3 linked regions of the Lepisosteus oculatus genome follow. The protein of the gene in region 3 purifies or fractionates together with the protein of the main gene of each other region. This does not show direct contact. Links are inferred from orthologs where the notes say so. Each region holds a gene or a part of one and is shown on either strand. Other genes may lie near its edges.

What was found. Proteins that work in one complex are often made in the same cells at the same time.
Region 1: the proteins of kras (region 3) and hnrnpa1b purify together in Homo sapiens (affinity purification with mass spectrometry; 3 studies listed by BioGRID and IntAct, with this or other methods). This does not show direct contact. The link is inferred for Lepisosteus oculatus from reciprocal best matches to the Homo sapiens genes KRAS and HNRNPA1.
Region 2: the proteins of kras (region 3) and c1qbp purify together in Homo sapiens (affinity purification with mass spectrometry; 3 studies listed by BioGRID and IntAct, with this or other methods). This does not show direct contact. The link is inferred for Lepisosteus oculatus from reciprocal best matches to the Homo sapiens genes KRAS and C1QBP.

What each region holds. Positions count from the first base shown.
Region 1 is NC_090696.1:19,466,648-19,473,923, reverse strand, and holds the start of hnrnpa1b (heterogeneous nuclear ribonucleoprotein A1b), read right to left. Parts: upstream 3,142-7,276; 5' UTR 3,045-3,141; coding exon 3,033-3,044; intron 2,006-3,032; coding exon 1,889-2,005; intron 1,510-1,888; coding exon 1,363-1,509; intron 891-1,362; coding exon 680-890; intron 266-679; coding exon 173-265; intron 1-172. UniProt on the Homo sapiens protein: Involved in the packaging of pre-mRNA into hnRNP particles, transport of poly(A) mRNA from the nucleus to the cytoplasm and modulation of splice site selection.
Region 2 is NC_090721.1:3,224,705-3,232,541, forward strand, and holds the start of c1qbp (complement component 1 Q subcomponent-binding protein, mitochondrial), read left to right. Parts: upstream 1-4,696; 5' UTR 4,697-4,877; coding exon 4,878-5,136; intron 5,137-5,742; coding exon 5,743-5,893; intron 5,894-6,910; coding exon 6,911-6,998; intron 6,999-7,128; coding exon 7,129-7,224; intron 7,225-7,647; coding exon 7,648-7,773; intron 7,774-7,837. Other genes in the region: ATP-dependent RNA helicase DHX33, read left to right, coding at 189-392, 566-652, 976-1,284.
Region 3 is NC_090702.1:51,787,769-51,795,111, forward strand, and holds the start of kras (GTPase KRas), read right to left. Parts: upstream 3,283-7,343; 5' UTR 3,193-3,282; intron 2,876-3,192; 5' UTR 2,601-2,875; intron 2,413-2,600; 5' UTR 2,285-2,412; intron 2,146-2,284; exon of another isoform or gene 1,726-2,145; intron 1-1,725. UniProt on the Homo sapiens protein: Ras proteins bind GDP/GTP and possess intrinsic GTPase activity. Plays an important role in the regulation of cell proliferation.

The DNA of each region.
Region 1 (7,276 bases), on a different chromosome or scaffold from region 3:
TTCTCCTTTGGTCAGAATAAACCCCCAAAAGCACTCGGGTCTAAAGCCAGATCAATTCTGAGATAAGAGCACCCAGGGTCATCCCCCTCTCCCAAAAAAGAGCTGAAAACACCAATGGCACAGGGTCCAAGACCCCCACCCCCCCGCCCCACCCCAAGCGCAGAGGGCTTACCTCTCATGTTCATCCCTGCGCTCGCCATCTCCTGCTTCGACAGCGCTTTCCTCACCTCACAGTTGTGGCCGTTCACTGTGTGGTACTTCTGGACTGCGGAAGAGCGAGACAGGACAACGGTCAGAAACGGGGGGGGGGGGGCACGCCCCAAACCAGGGGTGCAGCACCACACCCACAAAACCCCCTCCCCCCCTAAATACCCAGAGCCAAGAAGCCAAAACAAAGACCCTTTTAAATCACACTCACACCCCGGCATAAGAACGTTCGGCACACGAGTTTTTGCCAATCTGAACATGAAGAGTTTGAGCGAACTTGTCCTCGGTTCGGAAAGGGTGGATTTATGATCTTCCGCCTTCCGAACAGATTCCCCATGAACGAATCAGGCTCGGATACCGGGGTACGGGTGTACATTGGAGAGGTACCGGCACACGTCGCTACAGTGGCCTGGCAGGCTCCCCCAGGGGCGCCACACCCCCCAGCACAAGGCCCGTCGCCCACCACACTTACTGACGATCCGGTCCACGGAGTCGTGGTCGTCGAAGGTGACGAAGGCGAAGCCCCTCTTCTTGCCGCTGGCCCGGTCGGTCATGATCTCGATGACCTCGATCTTGCCGAACTCGCTGAAGTAGTCGCGCAGGTGGTGCTCCTCTGTGTCCTCCTTGATGCCGCCCACGAAGATCTTCTTGACGGTCATGTGGGCGCCGGGCCGGGTCGAGTCCTGGGGGCAAGGAGACAAGGCGGGTCACGAGAGGAGGAGGAGGAGGCCGGGGGGTCAGTCCAGCCCCCTAGGGCAGCTACTGGCTTAAATCGACCCCATCCATCTGGGGGGTGGTGGGGTACCGGCTTCAATAACGTGGCTGAACAGCCTGTTCCCCACTCCCACCACTCTTTGGGTAAAACGGAACCCGCTGCCCCAATCAGAAGACTGAATGGATATTCTGCAGAGCCGAAAAGGAAGCCAGGAAACCAGCTTCAACATCAGTTCCCTCCTACCACCACCCTTTGCGCAAAGACGTTCCTCCTGTTCTGGCTCCGCAGTGCGGACAACAGGTCCCGCCGAGGACCGACGAGCCCCCCGCGTGTATCGGGGTGGCAGGCAGCGGCTCCACAGCTCTCTGGCGGGCCCTCGATCCGGAAACACTCTCCCCAACCCCAGGGAAAACAGGCAGCAGACTGGGGGGGGGGCTCACCTCTCTAGACACGGCGCGCTTGGGCTCCACCACCCTGCCATCCACCTTGTGGGGCCGGGCGTTCATGGCAGCGTCCACCTCCCGCACCGAGGAGTACGTCACGAAGCCGAACCCCCGGGACCGCTTCGTACTGGGGTCCCGCATCACCTGGGGGGAGAGAGAGAGGGGGGGTCACATCAGCACTGGAGGCAGAGGGGGAGAACTGCGCCGGGCCCCTTAAACTGAACCGGTTCCCCCCAAGCTTTAGGAAACCAATCAAAGTCACAGTGGTGGGGTCACCCAACCAGGGTCCCGGGCGGGACGCTGCCCTGAGCTCTGGGACTCACAGCCCACACAGATCACGGCCTGAGCTTTTAGTCCGCTCCCACTCGCGGCCGCCAGGCCTGACAAACACGCCCCCCCCCGCACAGCCAGGGCAAAGGGCAGGCGCTCCCCGCACCACAAACCGGCGCGTCCCGGGATCGTTTACACCCGCCCCCACACCGCGAGCACGGGGCCCGAGGGGGGGGGTCTCTCCTCTCCTTACCACGCAGTCCGTGAGCTGTCCCCATTGCTCGAAGTGGGCTCGCAGGCTCTCGTCCGTCGTCTCGAAGCTCAGCCCTCCGATGAAGAGCTTGCGCAGCTGTTCCGGTTCACGGGGGGCCTGCGGGGGAGAGCGGGGGTTAGAGGCAGGAAGCGCTGGGTAAGAGGCAGGCCGGACCCGCCGGTCACCCGAACCCGGCCGGAAACCCGCGACGATTGCACGCCCTGCAGAGCTTATACGCAAATGAAAACTTCCGGAGCGTGTCCTCCCACCCTCTTAGGGTTACACACACGTAGATCTGCTCCGCTCCGAATCAGCAACGCCAATTCCAGAACGCAGAAGCGAAGCGGCCCCAGGCCGGCGCGTGGGCACGCTAGCCAGCCCGCGTGAGCGCGGAAGGTTCCAGACCGGAGACAAAGGCCCTGGCAGGGCGCATGCGCGAGCTGCAGCCTACACTCACCGTCTCAATATTTACTAACACGGCCGCCCAGGCTCCACAAAACAGAGGAGCGCGTTTTAACAGCATCCCAGTCTTAATGCGGGAAATAAGCCGCATTGCACAGGTCTAACTGTTGTAAGAGCGATCTGGGACGACTGACCCAGGGCAGGACTTCCAAGGCCTGGGCGCCATGTTCGTTACACCAACAGGAAACAAAGAAATGGATCCGAGTCTTTTTTTCTTGGATTTGCAATATTTGTGTATATTCACCGATTAACGGTGTTCCCATTTGCTCCGGATACAGAACGCGGGTCGATGCTACAGCCACGCGAGACAAGCGTGTCTTTCTCCTGGGGAAAGACACACGATTTCGCTCGCAGGCGCGTGGCCTGCACACCCACCGCCCTCACGAAATGGCGGAGCGACAGATCGCACCTCACCAAAGACAGAAATAAAACACAGTAATGAACTAGAAAGACGGGAAATATACTACTGAAGTGAACAGTAACGATGTGCGTCTTCCCCCTTCCACAATTTCAGCAACAAACGAGCCACCGACTTATGAAAACACAGATGTCTTTTATAGCTACGACCTTTTACACCAATAAGCTTTAACTACCACGTTATTCAAAGCACGGGTATTTTGACTAAAAGGTCCTAAAAAACGCCTAGTAAGTTGCTTTAGTTTGAAGAAAAGCAAAAACTTACCTCCTTAGACATTACTACAAGATCTGTACCAGCACAGCGCCTCTTGCTGAAGGAACAAGGTCGAAAGAGCCCTTCTCACTGCTCAGGCTACTGAGTTATGAAGACGGTAAGTTCCGCCCACTGGCATCAGTGATTGGCTAAAAGTTCCCGCTGCAGCGCGGAGCTGGGAGAGTTGCTCAAAGCTCATTGGATAGAACTCTCGTCTATCTGGTCCTTCTAACCAATCGCAGAAATATTGTCGGAATAATCGCACCCCCCCCGTGTTGTGAAGTCGGAATCCGATTTGCTCCTCTTCCTGCCAATCATTGGGGAAGGCGTCCGAGCGATCGCGGAGAGAGCGGCCGGTGACGCAGTCGTGTTGTGGGGAGAAAAAGGATCCGCGTACTTGCGTGAATAAGGTGTCAATTAAATCAATAAAACATGAACATCGTCTTCATGAAATGTCCAAAGAAATCTGCCACCCAGCAATACTGGCCCATGCAACTGCATAAGCATGTCATTTTAGATGATTATTAGTGGTAGATGTATTACGTGAATTGTTACAGCAGCTATACAGAGAGCTAGGCTGTCGCTTTTTGCCAATAGGCACATTCTAAGCACTTTGAAAGTATGTTTTCCTATTATTTGTCACAGTAGTTTTTAGGTCTAATGAATACAACTCCTAACGTCAGAGATACAATTCCTAAACCCGAGACACATGGCTTGTTTGTATCAGCTAAACCTGCTTGTTTGGATTCAGAGGACCAGGGAAAATGGTCCTGGTCGAGATTTTGCATGAGATCTTGTTTTTCATCATCATCATTATCATTATTATTGTTGTTTGAAGCATTTTTATCATCCTGACGAGCGGGGAAAAGCCGTCTTCTTATCGCAGAAGGACCCCTTCAAAGCTCCCTGCGTGCGCGTGCGCGCTCCAGCTATTGTGTGTTTTTTTTTTGGCGCGCGCGTCTACGCAGTCAGGAGGAGAGTCGGAGAGGCGCTCGAGCTGCAGCTGCGGCGGCGGATTGGGTCGTAACGTTTTCTCTCCTGGATTCAGACGGTCTCTTCACCGACTGGGTGAGCCAAATTCTCGTTCAGTTCGCACCAGCGAAGAGCTGGAGGGGTAGGCTACTCTGCGCTATGTTAACGAAAACGTGCGAAAGAGAGTTTTTATGGTGGGCGGGGGGGGTCGATTTGAACGTTTCTTCGTTCACGTCTCTTATGTGAAAGCGGCGGGATTGAAAGAAACAAGATGGGGGGGGAGGAGGAGGTAGGTGGGTGGGGTCGTGTTGGGCCGAGCGGAAGAGCGACATTGATTGACAGTCGCCTCGGCCACTCAGAGAGGCGGCTTCCCTGCGTTGGCGGGGTCGCTGCACCAAGCGTACAAATCACAGACGCGTCAGGTAGGAGGGACTTCCTGTGCCAGGGTGATTTGCGTTACGGCCATGTGTGTTTGTATTGCAAATTGGGGTTATAAACTGGGATTTACAGGAGAAGGTGGGTTTCACAACAGATAACGCATGGAGTCTACTTTTATAAAAAAAACAACTGTGTGCAGCGATTCAGTTTGCCTGGTGAATGGCGATTTTTGTAGATAAGCGGTGCTGCTCTCTGCCCCCACCCCCTGTCTTGTCTCTCTGTGTGAATTCATTCGGAGCTCCCGGAGCCCGGCATGCTTCTCCAGAGTAAAATCTGGGGAAAAAAAATAAATCTCGCCCCGTCTCTCTCAAGACGATAAGGCTGTGAATGGAGCGGAACCTTTAGTGAGAGTGTTGTGACGAGCATTGCACGCCTCCCAACCGGTGTTGTGACTTGAAATCGGGTTGCCTGGGTTTGGGACTGAACGTTATGCTGAGTTCTGCTTGCAAACTTGTGCTGGCGTTTTTTTTTACCAGGAAAATGACCCCCCACCCCCACCCCGTGCCAACAGACGCGTACGGTGTAAAAGCCTTTAAAAGGAATGCCCTTTCCTTGCTCACGGTGAAAGCTCAACGCTCTCCTTAAATCTCGGGCGCGCTCACAAGACGAGGGAATTAAACCTCCCCTTGGAACACAAAAAACAAACGGGTGCCGGTGTCTCTCGGTAAGATAAGAGACTGGTGTGTGTGAATCCAAGCCCTCCGGCAAACTTCTTTAAGGTCCCGAGTGGAGAGGAGCCGGAAACGCACAGCTCTGTGATTTTGTGTTTGTCACATGCGCAGGCCGGGTTGGCGGTGCGCATCTTGCAAATCGGTAACAGGGACCGATCACCCCCATTGAAAGAATCAAGCAGCGACAATTTTTTTAATGTAGGTCATCAAAGAGTGGCGCCGATCCCCGCATCTGGGGGGTATGATGGGCTTTAGCGACGGCAGCGGGCATCGCAGTTTAAACCGCGGAGCGCCCCTGACGCCGCTTCTGTGGGTGTGCGAAAGTGTTACTCATCGGACGCGGTCAGGTAGCTCCCAGATCGGGAGACTGTTCCCCCCGGGCTCGATCGGGAAGCCTTCCGCTTCCAGTTCAGGATTTCCAGCCGTCGCGGGCGAGTTCAGCTCCGGGTCTGGCGGACACGGGGTCTGCGAGGGAGTGGGGTCGCGACTGAAGTCAGCGCTGGCGAGAGCATTCGTGGCACTTTCTGAAAAAAGGATAAAGACCTTGTAGGGGAGCGTAGAGCCCGATAATCTCACGGGGGAGATTGATGAATCTCCCCCACCCCCACCCATTGATGGATCCGGAGGAACCGGTTTTGGATTGATTGCTGACGAGTCTGATGAAAGTATCCCCACCCCGTGCAATATTACCAGCGTTGTTTTTCTGAATGTTGGTCAAAATGTGTATCACGCTGCACGTCCACGTGCTACAACCCCCCCACCGGGGGATCCACACGCATCGTGGAGAGCCAGGCTCTCGCACCGCACGGCCGAGGTGCGTCTTCGGCTCCTGCATCTCGTGCACTTTTTTTTTTGTAAACACTTCAAACACGTACAGGACAACAACAACAAAAACATGTCTATCCAGGTGAGAAAAGGGGGAGCTGGATTAACTGGAGAGATGCGCAAGTGAGTGTTAAAAGCGATAGGCTGATTCATGCATATTCATGCTTGCCGATCTGGGAAGAGCGCTTTAACTCTTTGGCGTCTTGTTTCCCCACTGATAGGCAAGCTAGTCAAAGTAATCAGCTGGATCAAAGGAAGCAGCTGTAAGAATCGCCATCAGCAGAGAACAGGGGTGGGGGGATCCTTTCAGTGTAACACAGGGGCTTCCTTTCCTGTCATTGTTCTGTGGGCAAGACGCCACCTTCAGATGGCAGAACCTGCCGCGCGTGGTTACCCCTTTCAGAAGCCCTTCGGGGCAGCGGTGTGGAGCGGCCGGCCGGGGCTCTGGACTCCTGACCTGTGGCCACGGGTTCGAGGCCGCGAGCGCGAGACTCTGCAGTCATCCCCCCCCCCCCCCCGATCCCTCCAGTGAAACGGCCGGCCGTGCAGAATAGGGCGAATTGGACTCTGCTTGGTGGAAGAGCCTCCGCGGAATGAATCCTAGCCTTGTCCCGAAGTTCGCAGCTCTCCCAGATGAAGTCCGCGTGGCGTGCTTTTTAAGGAGTATTCTCCTCCTTGCGCGAAAGCAGTCGAAGGCGTTTTCCTCCCTGATTGTCCCAGACCTTCTTGCATTCGTCTCTGTAGCAGCCCCAGGCTCTGAATTGTCTTTTCTCACCTTTTTCTTCCAGGCAGCAGCTGGACTTGAGCTCTTCCTGTGGGGGCACTGACACCCCTGGAACTGTTCTCCGTTGTTGGCACAGACCACAGTCTTCAGGCCTGGAGGATTTGCAGTAAGTGCGCAAGGCTTAGGCCAGCTCTTTAACCACCTGTTCAACAAGCATGGAGGGAAACTCACCCGCTGTAGAAATGTGTATTCTCCCATGCTCCAGCCTGTGATTTGCATTTCTGATTGGACAGGATCGGCCATCAGCTCCCTCATTGTGGCCGCAGCTGAGAGAGACTACTTTTTAAACATGAAACTGCACATGTACCATACATTCATATATATATATACATACAGGATTTTTAAAAGGGAACACGTTTTCAGGGAAATGTAGTGCTTCGCTGCATTATTGTCCAAGGGTGGTAACAGCCGTTTTGCCATTGTGTGTTTTTATGATGGGGAATTGTACTGTAAATGTACTGCAAGGGGTGAATCAGGAGCAGGCTGGCATTGCAGCCTCGCAGCACTGGGGCTCGGGGGTCCATTTCCTGACCTGGGCTGCTGTCTGTGTGGAGCTTGCATGTTTT
Region 2 (7,837 bases), on a different chromosome or scaffold from region 3:
TTGGAAAAAAGCCAAGTTTTATCTCTCAACAATCCATTTTATACTACAACAAAAACAAAAAGCTAATTGAAGTTCCCAAATGAATCTCAGGACATGAGAATGTTTACAGTGTTATACATATTGACTCCTAGACTAGACTTTCAATTGGGCCTGGTGTTTTTTTCTTACCCTTTTCTGTTTTTCTCCAGACAATCCTGCTGTCAGCGGACTTCTCCTGTACGGAGGAGGTGCTGACGATCGTGTCCCTCCTGTCAGTGGACAGTGTCCTCTATAACCCCCCTGCCCGGAGGGAGGAGGTCTACTCCAGGCGTAGGAAGTTCATTTCCAGTGAGGGAGACCACATGACACTGCTCAACGTCTACAGGGGCTTCAAGAACGTGGGCGGAAATAAGGTGGGGGCGTCCTCAAACGTTCCAATACCCACAGGATTTAGATACACCTTTCTTGGGCAAACTGGCAAAACCAATATTGAAAGGGTTGGCAGGAGCTGATCTGCAGTATTATGTATCGCCAAGCTGTCTTTCCATTCTACTTTTTACATTTTTTTCCCCTTCGCGTTTTGCAGGATTGGTGTCGAGAGAACTTTGTGAACAGCAGGAATATGTCTCTGGTGACAGACGTTCGCAGTCAGCTGAGAGAGATCTGTGTGAAGGTATGAGACTTTGTGGATGTGTGGTCACCAATCAAAAGGGCTCTGGCTGTTATGAAATGTATTAAAAGAAAGGTGTTGCCCAGGAGATGACTAGAGAGTTGGGCACCTCATAATGCAAAGTATTAAAATAGAGCAGAGCAGTTTGGTGTCAGAGACTTTATTTAGGAGGTGTTATTTAGGGGTTATTATTTTGGTAAAAAAACATTCATTTTATTTGAAATCTGTTTTGGTTTTGCTGTTTGAGTTAAAAAGATGCGCTTGGCCTCACCCCTGTCATCATAATGTCTGATTAACTTCCCGGATTTTTATCCCCCTGCACGCAGCTGGGAATTTCCCCCGAGTCCTCTCGCTCCGATATGGGAAATGTCCGCCGCTGTCTGGCGCACGGGCTGTTCACGAACGCAGCCGAGCTGCAGCCTGACGGGACGTACATGACCTTGGACACTCACCAGCCTGTGGCCATCCACCCCTCCTCCGTGCTCTTCCAGGCCAAGCCGGCCTGTGTGGTCTTCAACGAGCTCCTGCACACTTCCAAGTGCTACATGCGGGACCTCTGCCTGGTGGACCCGGACTGGCTCCACGAAGCTGCGCCCGAGTACTTCCGCCGCAAACTCCGGGCGATCAAGAGCTAACCCCCCCGACCAAGAGGCAACTTGTGCACTAGATCTCAAGGCAGCATCTTGTTTTCACCCCACATTCACCCAAAAACAGTCTATGGTAACAGAGTAGCATACACTGTTGGATTACAAAGCATCCATCCATCCATCCATTTTCTAACCAATTCTTCCAGTTCAGTTTAGTGTTGGAACTGGAGCCTATCCCAGCAAGCAACAGGCTCAAGGCAGGGTACACCCTGGATGAGATGCCTGCTTACACAGCATCTTTGTTCCAAGATCAGTTGGTGGAATGCAACACATTTGGCCTTAGAGAGAAAACTCACTGTATCACGGATGTGACAAAGATAGTCTGGTGTTTGTGGTGAGAGTTTGGGACCTGTGGGGTTGTCTCCAAAGACAACTCTAGAAATGACTCACAGTTTCAGCCTGCTCGGACAACGTCTGACCTCCACTGACTCTGTTCTGTCACCTCTCAGCTTTCCCTTGTTTTTTTACTCTTCCTTTCTCTTTCTCAGGGCTAAATCATCAGCAGATAACCGAATATTAACTTAAGAACCAGCCTGGACAATGAATTCAGCCATGCAATGAGACCTTTTGTATTCTTTTCTGGAAGAGATGGGCTGTTGCTGTGATAGATCAGTCAATTATAAAGAACTGAGCCCCACAGTGGTAGGTTTTCCACAGTTCTCATGTGTCTGGCACAACCTTGCTTTTGTATTTGACTGCTGGCAGTTTCAAGAAACACCCAACTGCTATAAAAATAGGAATATGATTAGCTTCACAGCCAGACTGCTGAGCTGTGGAGCAATAAAGAGATGTGCATTTATTGTACCTTTCAATGGCAGATATTATTGTGAATCATCTCATTCCTCCACTACCTGTTCTGCATCTTCAACAAGTTGGAAATCTCCTGAAAAACTCATTGTTAATGGAAGTCTCTTTACTTATTCTATCATTTGGCCTTAAAATGCTTACATGGTTTGACTAGCAAGCCTTCTGCTGCTGGTATTACAAATACTGGTTGGAACATGACCAGTTTCCTCCTTTCTTTATAGTGATACAGTGCAAAAAACCCAGGGAGGAGTCAAGTCACAGGATAACCTAGGTTTTTTGGGGACGGAGGCATAGATTTATTTTTTTCTGTAAATCGTGTTATGATTCTTCTTAACCAACACGGATTTCTTCACATAGTTTCACTGTGATCTTGCCAATTTTAATATTTAGTCTCACGTGCTCCCTTTAACCTGAGAATTGGATCTCTGAAACTTTGTGAACAATGGCCAGATTTTCAAATAACCCATGTTAAAGCTAACGTCATATGGCATTAACAATTACCCACAGAAAGAATGATAAACCTTCACTTTGACCTCCACCCTAGACTTGACATATTTAGCTGAGGGAACAATTGCACATTAATTGTAGATTAAACTGGTGGACCATTATTTTTCTTAAATTGCTTGTTATTTCAATATTTAACTTCTGGGAAAGCAGGTAATACTTTTAATAGAAGTCACTCATAGTTTAATCGCATGCCATATTGCTTTTCAGTGGCTTTACACCACTGTAGCATTTCACACATTTCGGGTGTAAAGATCTGTTACACTAATGTTCACTGGTCCAGTAGAAAATCACTCTGGTTCTTAAATAGGTGAGTTTATTAGTGTTCACTTCCCTCTGTATCTGTCCAGCACTGTTGAGCAATTGCTGATTTACCCATGTAAAGTAGCAGTAGGTTTGCAGTGCATGTTTTAGAAGTGAAAATAATAAGTTGTTAAATGTAGTTAAATGAACCTATATTAGACAACAACACAGGGAATTGAGTTTTAAGCAAGGTAATTAAGCTCCAGACAAATTCAGTCCACTTTTTCTAAGGTGATATTCTGTTTCCATAATTAAAGAGAAAGGTTATTCTCGAGGCTTGAGCTATTGTAGGTTGTTTTAAAGTGGGCTCTTCAGTACCTTAGAACAAAAGGGTTGTCAGGGTGTGGGTCCACGTTTTTGCTCAGGGTTAAGGATTTGTCACACAACGTCATAACAACAGCAGTGTTGCAACTATGCTGTTTATGCTGATTAAGAGGGGCTTAGTCAAGAGCAAGTATGACATGAACTACTTTCAGGACGAGAATATAAAATGTGAGTATTAGGTTTGTGCGTCATGAGAGCTGTGAGAATAATAGATGCTCCACAGCAAGGCTGGGGAAAAGGACAGATGATCAGTTGTTACTGTTGTATTTCATTATTTTATTTACAGAAGGAAATACGGTGAATGTCCTCTTGAAGAAAATACACAAGTTCAGAAGGTTTTCTGTGTAAATGGGAGGATTTGGCTAAGAAGCCTCAGAGCAGATATTGGTGCAAAGGGTGTTTTGAGTAGGTTCTTTTGATGGGCACAGAATTGTATGAGTGACACAAGGCTTTGTAAAATAAAATATTTATAATAAAGACTATTTCTACACAATGTGGTGTAGAATTTGTTTTCTATATGTGTTGCATGTGTACTGTATATGAACTTCTTAAGTTCTTCCTTAACAGCTCACACATCCCACACATTTAGTCTCTAAATCCTTAAAGACGAGCAGATGTAATGATGTAATAATTTTTATGTAATAATAATGTGGGAAGTGGGGTGCAGACCAACTTCATGGGCGGAAAGCGCTGTCTCAGGGGGACCAGTGTGTCTGCAAGATGTTCTAAGTCACCAGAATCTGAGGATTGATTATGTACTGTAGGTCATTAGGAGTAGAGTTAGCATGAAAACCTGCAGACACACCGCTCTTGGAAGACCAGAATTGCTCATTCTTGCCCTAGTTTAAATAAGGCACAGTACCACCTTTATACCACACCCTTACTACTTCAGGGAGCAAAACTGAAGACCTGCACCCACACAGTCTAGGGTTACGCACAAAAGTATAAACGTCTTAAGCGGTTACACTATTCATACACAAAGTATGAATCGAAAGTCAATCGGTTTGCTTTAAATTTTGTAAGTGTTCAAATTTTACCATTATTTTTAAGACTTCAAACTAGCATTCCAGGAAAAAGGGAACATGGGATAAAAACAATCCAAACTACCGGTCAAACAAGGACACGGGCTGTGTTGCACAGTTGAAGAATACGGTTCGTCTAGAATACATTTTGCCACAATACACATGTATTTGTATTAGAAAAGGGCACTATTTATAGCACAATTTTAAATGTAGTTAGATTTTAAAATTATAAAAATTGTAAGATAAAAATAAAAGTGTTGAGGGAAAAAAAATCACATAACACCGGGTGAAAAGCTCTTAGGATATTTCTCTGGAAAAGTAATGATAAATAGTTTCCAGCCACTCCAGAGGTAGAAAGATGAGCACGGAACTGTTATTCTACTTAATGCGTTTCTACGACCATATTTTAATAGCGCACGGACATCTTTTTCCAGTTCAAAGGTAAAAGGTCACTGCGAAGGAGGAGGTCAGAGCGTCCTTTCTGCCGACACGTGGTTTCCAGTAGTTTCTTAGCGGTTTGAGTCTGATCAGTGGGAGAAGGGTATTCCGTCGCACGCTTTTTTGGGGGTGACCTCCGATTTCAGTCAAACTTCTTCAATACTAGCTTAGTCGTCTGAAACCATGTTGAAGTCTCTTACCCGGGCCCTCGGCGTCGCCACTCGTATTTCCACCAGCACAGCCGCCTCTTCCACCCGGGTGCTGGAGCCTCTGCTCCGGCCGGCTGTCGGCGCTCCCAGCTCGGCAACAGCTCGGCCCTTCACCCGCTCTATCTGGATGCTGTGCAGTAGCGGCTCCTCATCGGAACACAGGCCGGGGTTGCTGAGCAGTAGTCGGGGTATCCCATCGGTGTCGTGCGGCTGCGGAGGACTTCACACGGAAGGTAAGCATAAAGAAATAATCCTGCGAATTATTGTGGGATTCTGGGGCTCTGATGGTATATCCGGGACGATTGATGCTGCTCGTGTGCGTTAACCCAGATGTGTTTCTTACAAACAGCGTTCAACCGGTTTTGTTACAATCACGTTATGGACAAAAACGGCCTTCAAGAAGATTAAAATGAGTTTTGCAAACGGTAATTCCGGTTTGACATTCGGGGCTACAGTATCCCCACATGATCAGTGAAGTGTCGAAGAAGGACTTGAAAAACCTTTTGTTTTATAAATCCGGGACGTTGAATTGTAATGATGCTTCGACACACATGCCCTTGATGTTATTTCTGTAGAGTGATACACGCTGTGAAGAGCACTCCAGACTTCTGTGCAATATTTCGATTATAGGCGTGAAGCATTACATTCAATGCACTGTCCATCTGTAATTATGAGTATTGTGTATACATCTAAACACCTTCATGGCAAGATCGGTAGTTTCCTACTGTATGCTTTATAGTTTTACATTGAAAATAAAAAAAAACTTAAGTGATGTACCTTCTCTGTATCTGTGTAAAAAAAACTAACAATGCATAATCGGAAACACATTTCTTTGCCAGGAGACAAGGCATTTGCAGAATTCCTGTCAGATGAGATTAAAGAAGAGAAAAAGATTAAGAAGCACACAGCGCTGCCCAAGATGTCTGGGGGCTGGGAGCTGGAACTCACAGGCACCGAAGCCAAGCTAACTAGGAAGATCGCTGGAGAAGTGTAAGAGAAATGTTGAACCCTTTCTTCAGAACCTCATGGCACACAAAGTCAGCCCCGGGAAGGCAATTTGTTCCCCGAAAAGGATGATGATTGAATAATTTAAACCCCACTCTTCGCATGCCATACTGCATTTCAATTAAGATTAAGATTGACATTTGATTTCAATTTCTCCACCTTTAGGGTGTCTTGATGTGACCTTCCCTTGTATATCAGATGAGTCATCCAATACACCGTCTAATCCTTCCGACCGACACAATCCACCTCTTTAGTTAGGTGTTAAACCAGTCTGTCCTTTCAGGATCTGGCTGAAGTCAGCTGGTTGACTATTTAAGTGAAGAATCTATTCATCAGTGGATGAATCTGAATGTCAGAATTCCTCCTCAGAGTTGTGTGTTGTAAGTCATGCACGTTGGGCAGTCATGAGTTGTAATTACTGGGTGGGTGAAGTAACATGGCTTATGGCTAAAACACCAAAAACCTTTCTTAACAGTCAGCATCAAATGCTGTTATTGGTTTTATGCAGTTTAGCACAGGAAACCCTGAATATCATTAAATGGGAAGAAGTCTAGAAGCAGCAGCCTATTGATTTGACATTAAAAGAAGCTGGGGGGGGGGCAGCATTGCTGTCAATGGGGCCCTGGGTTCAATTCCAGTCCTGGGGTGATACTGCGTGAAGTTCGTGTGTTCTCCCCGCATTTGTGTTTGAGTTTCCTCATACACACTGGTGGGTTGATTGTCCTCTGAGAAAAATGTGTGTGCCCTGTTATAGGCTTGTGTCCCATCCAGGGAGCTCCCCTCCTTGCACCTGTTGCTTGCTGGGATAGGCACCTGCTCACCTAAGGAAGCAGCAGCTGGGAAACAGGTGGATGGGGAAAAACCCAGGGAATGGGGATCATCAAAGATGAAGATAAATGCCAAAATATTATCAAGGACTTAAGTTGCCTCAAGCTGAGATTAATGCTTTGACCTCTTGCCAGGATGCTGATTATTTCCTTCTGTCTTTTCTCAACGCTGCAGGGTGTCGGTCACATTCAACATCAACAACAGCATCCCACCCACCTTCGATGAGGAGCCAGAGCAGGGCCAGAAGCCCTCCGAAAACGAGGTGAGCGTGCACTTGGTTCTGCCTGTGTAGAGTCCAGGTCTTGGTGGCGTGAGTGGTAGACTTCTCTCATAAAGGGCACTGGGATATAACCAGGGTCTTTATGTGATTGTTCCCCTTGTGTTTCTTCTAGCCTGAAATTGTGTCAACACCCAACTTTGTCGTGGAGGTGGCGAAACAGGCTTCAAACCAGTCCTTGGTGTTTGACTGCCATTATCCCGAAGATGAGGTGGGTCTCTCGGTACTCTGCCCTGGTCATTCATGAATGGGCACTGATCTTCACACTGGGCTCAACAGGAGTTGCTGACATGGCTCAGAAAGTGAACAGTCATTGTTGATGGTTTGCACAGGTGATTATTTCATGTGTCGCATATGGACTCACCTGAAATAATCATAGAATCAAGTGCAATAGAACTATGTTATCTTTTATTCCCACAGTTATTTGGTCAATTAACTGTTTATTTTAATACCTATATATATATATTGTTTTGTTTTTTTCCCTTTTTATCATACATGGATGTCTCTTAATGGGTTAGTGTTCTGTTAAATGTATTGTGTTACCCACTTGGAAAGCAAATTTCCCATCTGGGACTATAAAGTATAACAAAGGAGCGATTAATTGCGGTATTAACGGGCCGGGTTTGCTGTCCAGGTGGGCCACGGCGAGGGAGAAGAGGAGAGTGATATCTTTGCCGTCCGAGAGGTCAGCTTCCAACCCACTGGAGAGAAGGAGTGGAAGGACACCAGCTACACACTCAGCACCGACTCCCTGGACTGGGTATGTAGTCCCTTCTTCCAAGTGATTCTTCCTCAAAAGCTTGGATGAGAGTCTAGAACTACCC
Region 3 (7,343 bases):
TCAGAATGAAAAGGTCATTTAGTCTCTTAAAGGATCTTACACAAACTTATTTGCCCGAGCCAGATCTATACCTTTAAACTCTTCATTTTGTAGGGGTGCTCACACAGGCCAACTTTTGAAATGAAGCAAAACTGACATTAACGCAGAAAGGTACTTGATCGCCAGGACGTGCAATTATTGGGCGAGATCAATCGATGTGTAGCCATCGGCTAAAGCTGATTAAACTGTAACAGAAATGGGACAAGCATCTACAAAAATGTGTATGTTACACAACCATTAACATTAGCGTTCAAGACTTTTTCAATTTGCATATTTTTCCAACTGCGAACAAATCCTATTCCATTTCCTTGTCCTAGATCAAACACCAAAGGGAAGGGTTTTGCAGTGCAGCTTGCTATATATCTGTGGCCATCTTCCTTTCAGAACAACAATGCAGAATGAAGATTAATCAAAATCACAAAAGCCCAGATGGGCAATGGTAAAGTGATGTGCTCTCTAAACACAATCACGACAGTAAACACAAAGGAATTATGCAAGAGTCTGCAGGCAACTTGGGACACAATTCTAATTAAAAAAATGATTCTTTTTGAAGATACTGCATCAAGGGGTGCATGGGACGAGGCAGCTAAACACAAATTGTGTAACTGTACAATGCTTAGCAGCACCCATGTGATTATCCATTGCTGTGTTAAAATAAAGCACTCAGTTTTAAGGGTTTCTATGGAAAACTTTACGAGTCTTCGTTCGCCTTACCCATAACAGCTTGGATGTAAACAAAAGTTTAAGATGAACAGGATTATTTAGTACAAAACAAGCTAAAATATGCAAAGCTATTTAAGAACCATATTATCACAACAAATTAAGAACACACAAAAGATGTGGAGGATCAGATATCATATCAACCTCCCCAGTTCATTCCATTCCCCCTACTCAGTGCAGTTACAACTGTTACTCTATTGCGAAGACATAGTTTCACCCACTTGTGATCTACAAAGGCAACATTTTCATGATGCAGAATTTGAACAAGCTGTTAAAAGCTCGAGAAATGTTAAGTACCAAACGTCTTTCCGACACCCAGTTAAGGAACAGAAAGTCCGTCTTCTGCCAAAATCTGCCTTGTGTCACTAACGGGGGAATTTTAAAGTATTTTCTACCAACTGGGTAGTTCATCGCGTTTGAGTCAACGGATAAATGTTAATTAAAAGAAACATGCAATAATAGATCTAACGGGTTTTTTTATATAACGTACAATATCCTTAACCAGTGTTAGTGCTTCAAGTTAACATGTGCAGACTACCAGTCTCAACAAAATTGAGATTCCAGCCCTGAAACTGGAATCAGCCCCCAAACTCCGTAACTGTTCACATATCCGTATACATTTACTGCGTATTTTGAAAACAAAAACGTTATGCATCTTAATATTAACACATTAATTTACACTCCAGAGTAGGCAGCTAACCGTCTGCTCCACTATCACAGCAAAGTAAAAAACAAATTACTGGGTTAGCCTAGTTTAAAAATCATTCTAAATATTTAGGAATTTCTAAAAAAAAAAACACCACCACCAACACTTAAAGCAGTGTATTCACCTTACGTTTCACACGCCTGTTCATCAGCTATTAACACAGACATAGCAAAGTGACCCGACCCTAAAGTGATATAAACTGTAGCAGTTGTGTTGGGTCTGCAAATTTCTCCCCCAAAGCAGCTGAATCCGCTCCCCACCTCTGAACACGCACGGCGCCAGCCCGTCCTCCTGTGAAATTAATGGCCTCTGGTCGCCGTCAATGAAATAAAACGGGGCAAGGTCCACACGGATCTAAGGCCAGTTTCGCCGTCCTCCCCTTGGCGTGAACACCGCGCAGCGCTGCTCGCCTGGCGGTTCCTAACGCGCGTCGGGGTGGGCGCACAACAGGCCCGTGGGTGTGGAATACGTTAACACCGCGGGTTTAAAAAGAAAAACAAAACTAACACACACACACACAAATCGCGTTTGGCCGAAGGAGCCTCGGGAGAGGGGCTGCGCCGCGCCGAGCTCCATCTGCATTGCAGGGCCACGGCCGGCGAGATGGGCGTTGTGGTGTTTCTTTCACCCTTTGCCACTTCCAGCTCGATTGTCCTCGGGTACGTGTGCGATACCCATGTTGCCCCCCCCACCACCACCAAAAAAAAAAAAAAAAGAAACGTGCACTTTTTTTTTTAAAGGAAACAGCCGTTCAACGTCAGCTGGTCCAATTCAGGGTTCATTAGCCACATATTTGATCTTTTCTTTTTTTTTTTTTACCTTTTGCCTCAGGAGTTCCGCGTCCGAAGTGTCAGAAAGAAGTATCTCGTTTAGTTGCTACAGCCCTTCCTTCTGTAACGATACAGGCATCTTTGGCTTCAGTCTTTTTTTAAAAACGTGACTCGGGTCTTCATCGCGCCGAATGTAAAAAAAAAACCAAAAACCCCCCTCAAACGATAGAAACTGCGGACGGCACACAAAAATCAATTAAACTTTTCTTTTTGGTTCCTTGTTCGGCCTGACGCCTGCCTGCCCTCAGACAAAACTGGGCGGATACTTCACATCCGAGAGCTCATTTCAAACACCACTCACTTACCCAGAAAGCAAATGGGGAGAGGCCAGGAAGGAGTCCGGCTTGCTCGCTCGGTTTCTCTCCTCGGGTTTCCTTCCTTCGCGGCGTTTTCGGAATTATTTCACCATTATTCTTTCAGACTGGACGGGGAGCTAAGACACCACAAGACGAGGAGTCCCGCATTAGCCCCAGCCCTCCCGGCGGTGCAGTTAAACCAGTCCCAGTTCACACAGACCGCTTCACTACTCCCAAGGACTGGCAGAGGGCGTTACAGGCGATTACAATTTGTGAAACGAGACCTAAAAATAGAAATCCAGTATCTGCAACGAGTCCCGACTTAAAACATCGCTTATCGAGAAAACAAGAGGCTTAAACGCACGTCTCTGAATTTGTGCGTTTATTATTATGATAATAATAGGATGTCAAGAATAATACATGCTTTTACTCTTGTGAAACGGCTGACTTGTTCAAGGGAGCTCCCCCCTCATTTGTACGGAGTACGGCTAAACCATACCTCATGGGAAAACAACGTGGCTTGAAACAACACTTTAAATGACAAAAGCAGGGCAAGGTACGTTTCAGAAAGTGAAAAGACGCGATTTTCTACCCCACTTACCAAAACGCACAACTGTATGTAACGATTTTACTAGGCTAGAGCACAAGCAATTCCCAGCCACCTCTAACCTCTGCCAAATCTGTGTAAACACTGAACAGACCAGCAGCAGCAGCACAGCTTAAATAGGCTCTATAAATACACTGCTTATGCGCTTTAACTACGTCACCGCCGAGAAGGTGTCTGATTTGGCGTTTCTCTGTCAGTTACGCAATGCCCGGATGACGTCAGTACACACCGTAGCAATGTATTATTGCAAATCTTTACAGTGTGTGAACTGCGGTGAACCTGTCTGTGAGATATTAACCCTGCCCTGGACGAATAATGGCAGGAGGCGTTAAATAGCACATGATGATCAACCGAGATACTCTTTTTCTAACCTCTTAACCATTAATCTTTCCTTTGCATGAATTTCGATACACAAACACCTGCATTTTTTAATCGCTAATTTAGTATATTGTATTATTTTTCGATTGCAAGGTGGAACTGGGAATTTTTTGCTACCATAGCACCGCAAGAATTCTTTAAAGGGTAAAATATGATTTCTCTCTATTAGAAGGTACAGTGAGAGAAAATACCCTGTTCAATGGCAGTCCTTACCGATATGCAGTGAGCCAGGTGAGTCTAGACCCTGGGCAGGTCACTGAAGAAAACCCATGTGGAAAAACTGTAGGGAGAACATGCAAACACCACACAGAAGGTCCCTCAGATCCTAATTGAAACCAGGACTAGTGACACAATACTGCTGACCACCACATCACCATGTCACCTGTGTTAGATAGAAATCCCTAATACCTATTGCATGCAATTTGACCCTGCATGTTGTAAAGCAGTGACTGAGCTTTTCAAAATAGTCAAGTTGTTGAACCTGTGAAATATCTGGTTAGAAGTGAATTTAGAGAAAACTGAATCAAAACCTTGCCTTTTCCTTTACATTTTCTATCTGGGCTCTCAACATCGCAGATTAGTGATTGTGGAGTAACTTTAAGTCTTGGAATTTGCGGGGTGCTATTCAGTTCCTACCTCTGCAAGAGATAAGTCCACTGAGCTCACAGGCACTCTTTCTGATATGGTCTGGTTTCTGTCTTTTCATCTCTATTCTTCATTGGAATGCAGTTATGTGCTAAGCTGCACTGTCTAATTATCCCCCCTTGTGGCAAAATTATTTGACTTTTTTTTTGCTGCTTTCCAGTGGATGACATTCACCCTTGCCCATGCTTTTCCTCAAGGAGTGTGCAAATTCCATTTCTGAAACACGCAAAGGGACAAAATGCCTTCATAGCCATGCTATACGTTTAATAGAAAACACATCACTTCATATTGGAATCAAAATGCTGATCTGCAGTGTCTTTATTCTGCTGGAAAGCATATGGCGTGGTTCCTATACATAAGTCAGCCTGCATTCGACATACTGCACTGCACTACTTGGACATAATGTATTGCATACAGCCTGGACACATCACAGCTCTATTTATATTGAGCTCTGTCTGAGTTTATTTTATTCCATTTCTATTGCACAAGTATGTATTATTATGTAGCCTTATTTTATAACGTTAATTTTGTGATTTTTACCCCCTCCCCTCCAGTGAGCGTGCAGAAAAGACATTTCATTGCCAGCAACTACTGCTGCACACTTTATTGTTGTGCATTTGATACATAAATGTTGATTGATTGACAGCACAGTATCCACATGTGGATTGTACAGAGTGTGCAATATCTACACTCGTCTTCAAACACATAAGCCACACTCACCCATTCTTGCAAGGTGTCAGGGTGAAAGAGTGTCACTTTCAATAATGTGAGTGTGTAGTCTGTTCAGGTCATTTTGTGTGATCCTAAGTTCCTCAAAAAGTATTCAATAAAGAGAAAATGTTCAACTCTAAATGCACTTCTTCCTACAAATTTTAATTTGTGCACTTGCTTCATTTTTGGGGTCAAATAATGCCATTAGAATTGCTTTGTAAACACCTTTCCGCTGCTGTTGTTGTGGTTCACAAAGTTTCAATAACAACAATACACTTAAATAATAATAAATACATTTTAAATCCCAGAAAGGGTAAGAACATCAGAAAAGTTGTAAACGACTGGAAGCCATGCAGACCATGTAGCCCACCTGGATGCTACTTAACTGATCTAAGGATCTCTTCGAGCTCTTTGTTGAAAAAGAATGTATCAGCTTCAACAACATGGCTGGGCACAGCAGCTTCTGAGTAAAAAAGAGCCCTCCTGTTCTCAGTTTTAGATGCACTTCCATGTAGTTTTCTCACATGTCCACTCGTTTGTTCTTCACTGTTTTGTGAAGAAGTCCTGAGTTGACTTTATCAGTGTCATTAAGGATTTTGACCAGGTCTGCTCTCATCAAGATATTAAAGGTGGTGGGGTTGTGGTGCAGTGTGGCGTGGTGGCTCTGTGGTTAAGGATCCGTGCCTGTGGCTGGATGGGTGCTGGTTCGTATCTTGTAGCTGGCAGAGGAATCCTACTCTGTTGGGGCCCTGAGCAAGGCCCTTTACCCCAACTGCTCCAGTGGTGCTATATAAATGGCTGACCCTGCAGTGTGACCCCGAGGTTCTCTCCCTGTCTGTGTGTCTCATGGAGAGCAAGTTGGGGTATGTGAAAAGACAAATTCCTAATGCAAGAAATTGTATATGGCCAATAAATTGATCTTATCTTCATCTGAAGGCTTTTTTCCTTCAGCCCATCAGCCCATCAGTGCAAGGCATTCATTTTAGCCCTGGAAGGGTTATGGACTAATTCCAGAGCAGCAAAATCTTTTTGTACCATGTTTAAGAATTCTATGACAACGTTTTAAAGAATATTTACTAGTGGACAAACGTCACATAACATCACCAGATTTCATTTCTAGGTTTTTCATGACATATCCTAATATTCTGTTTCTATTGCCTGTCTATATTTGTCTACAAGATGTTTCAGAACCAAATGTCTTTTCATTCATTTAAAGCTTGTGTACAATATCAATATAACATCGTACAACTTTAAAAACCTAGATGTTTAATGAGGTGTTTTGAATTCTTGACTCCCTTTGCTTATTATCAATGATTTGAAGTGATATTAAGTCATTTCACTTTGAAGTGAAATTAGGTGCATGAGAGGAGAAGCCCAGTTCATTAAAATAAATGAATACTGCTTCAACGTTGAAAACAGCATTTATTGTACTTACAGGCCTACTGGAATAGCAATGCCAGAAATTATTTTAAGCATTTTTTGTATGAGATAATGAGATTAATATGAATGATAAGTACAATATAAATGTGTTTGATCGTAATAAAACAGAAACATACTTTGTGCTCAACCCAGTGATTTCAAGTGACCATGCAGTTAGTACCGAGATATTAAAATGCTCCTTTGAGGCAATAATTGGTCTAAACTTTTAGGTTGTATTGGCCTTGTGTTCTGGTTCGATGTCTTTCTGCATCGTGAAGTGCTGCCCAATATGTATGGAATCATTTCTTCTACCTAAGCAGACAAAATGTTTCTGTAAACTTCAGAATTCGCTCTGTTGCTGTCATTAGGTACATAATCAAAAAAATGAGTGAGCCAGTTCTGCAGGTGGTATCCCCACTACCTCCACCATGCTTCACAGATGAGACCATAATCTTCAGAGAATCTACGGTTACTTTTTTCCACTTTTTATAACTTTCTATCATTATGTTAAAAAGTTCATCACAACTTTGTTACAAGACTCATGCCTCATCTTTTTACTTCTGAGTAAAATATAATCTGTCTTTTTTTGGTCTTGATACTGATGAGTGATTTACATGTGGCTTAGGCTTTGTAATTCTGCTTTCCTACAAACTGTAACTGTGATACCTTCTCCCCTGGACTCTGCAGACTGCCAGCAATTTCACTAAAGGCTGTTAAAGGGTTTTTCTTGAGAGCTCTGATGATTTTTCCATTAACAAATTGCACATATTTGTCTTGGCTGACTTCTTCTTTGCTAATTGGTAATTAAACCCATGGTCTGTTTCTTCAGTAGATTCTACAGTACATTGTGAATTTTGGTGTGCCCATTATTGTTTCAAATATTGACTTTAAAATGCTGATTCCAAACATTGACAGCCAAGCAAAATACAGTAGTATAATAAGATGTTCACAGTTCTGTTATGAGCCTAATTGCCCAACAGCTTACAGCTGAC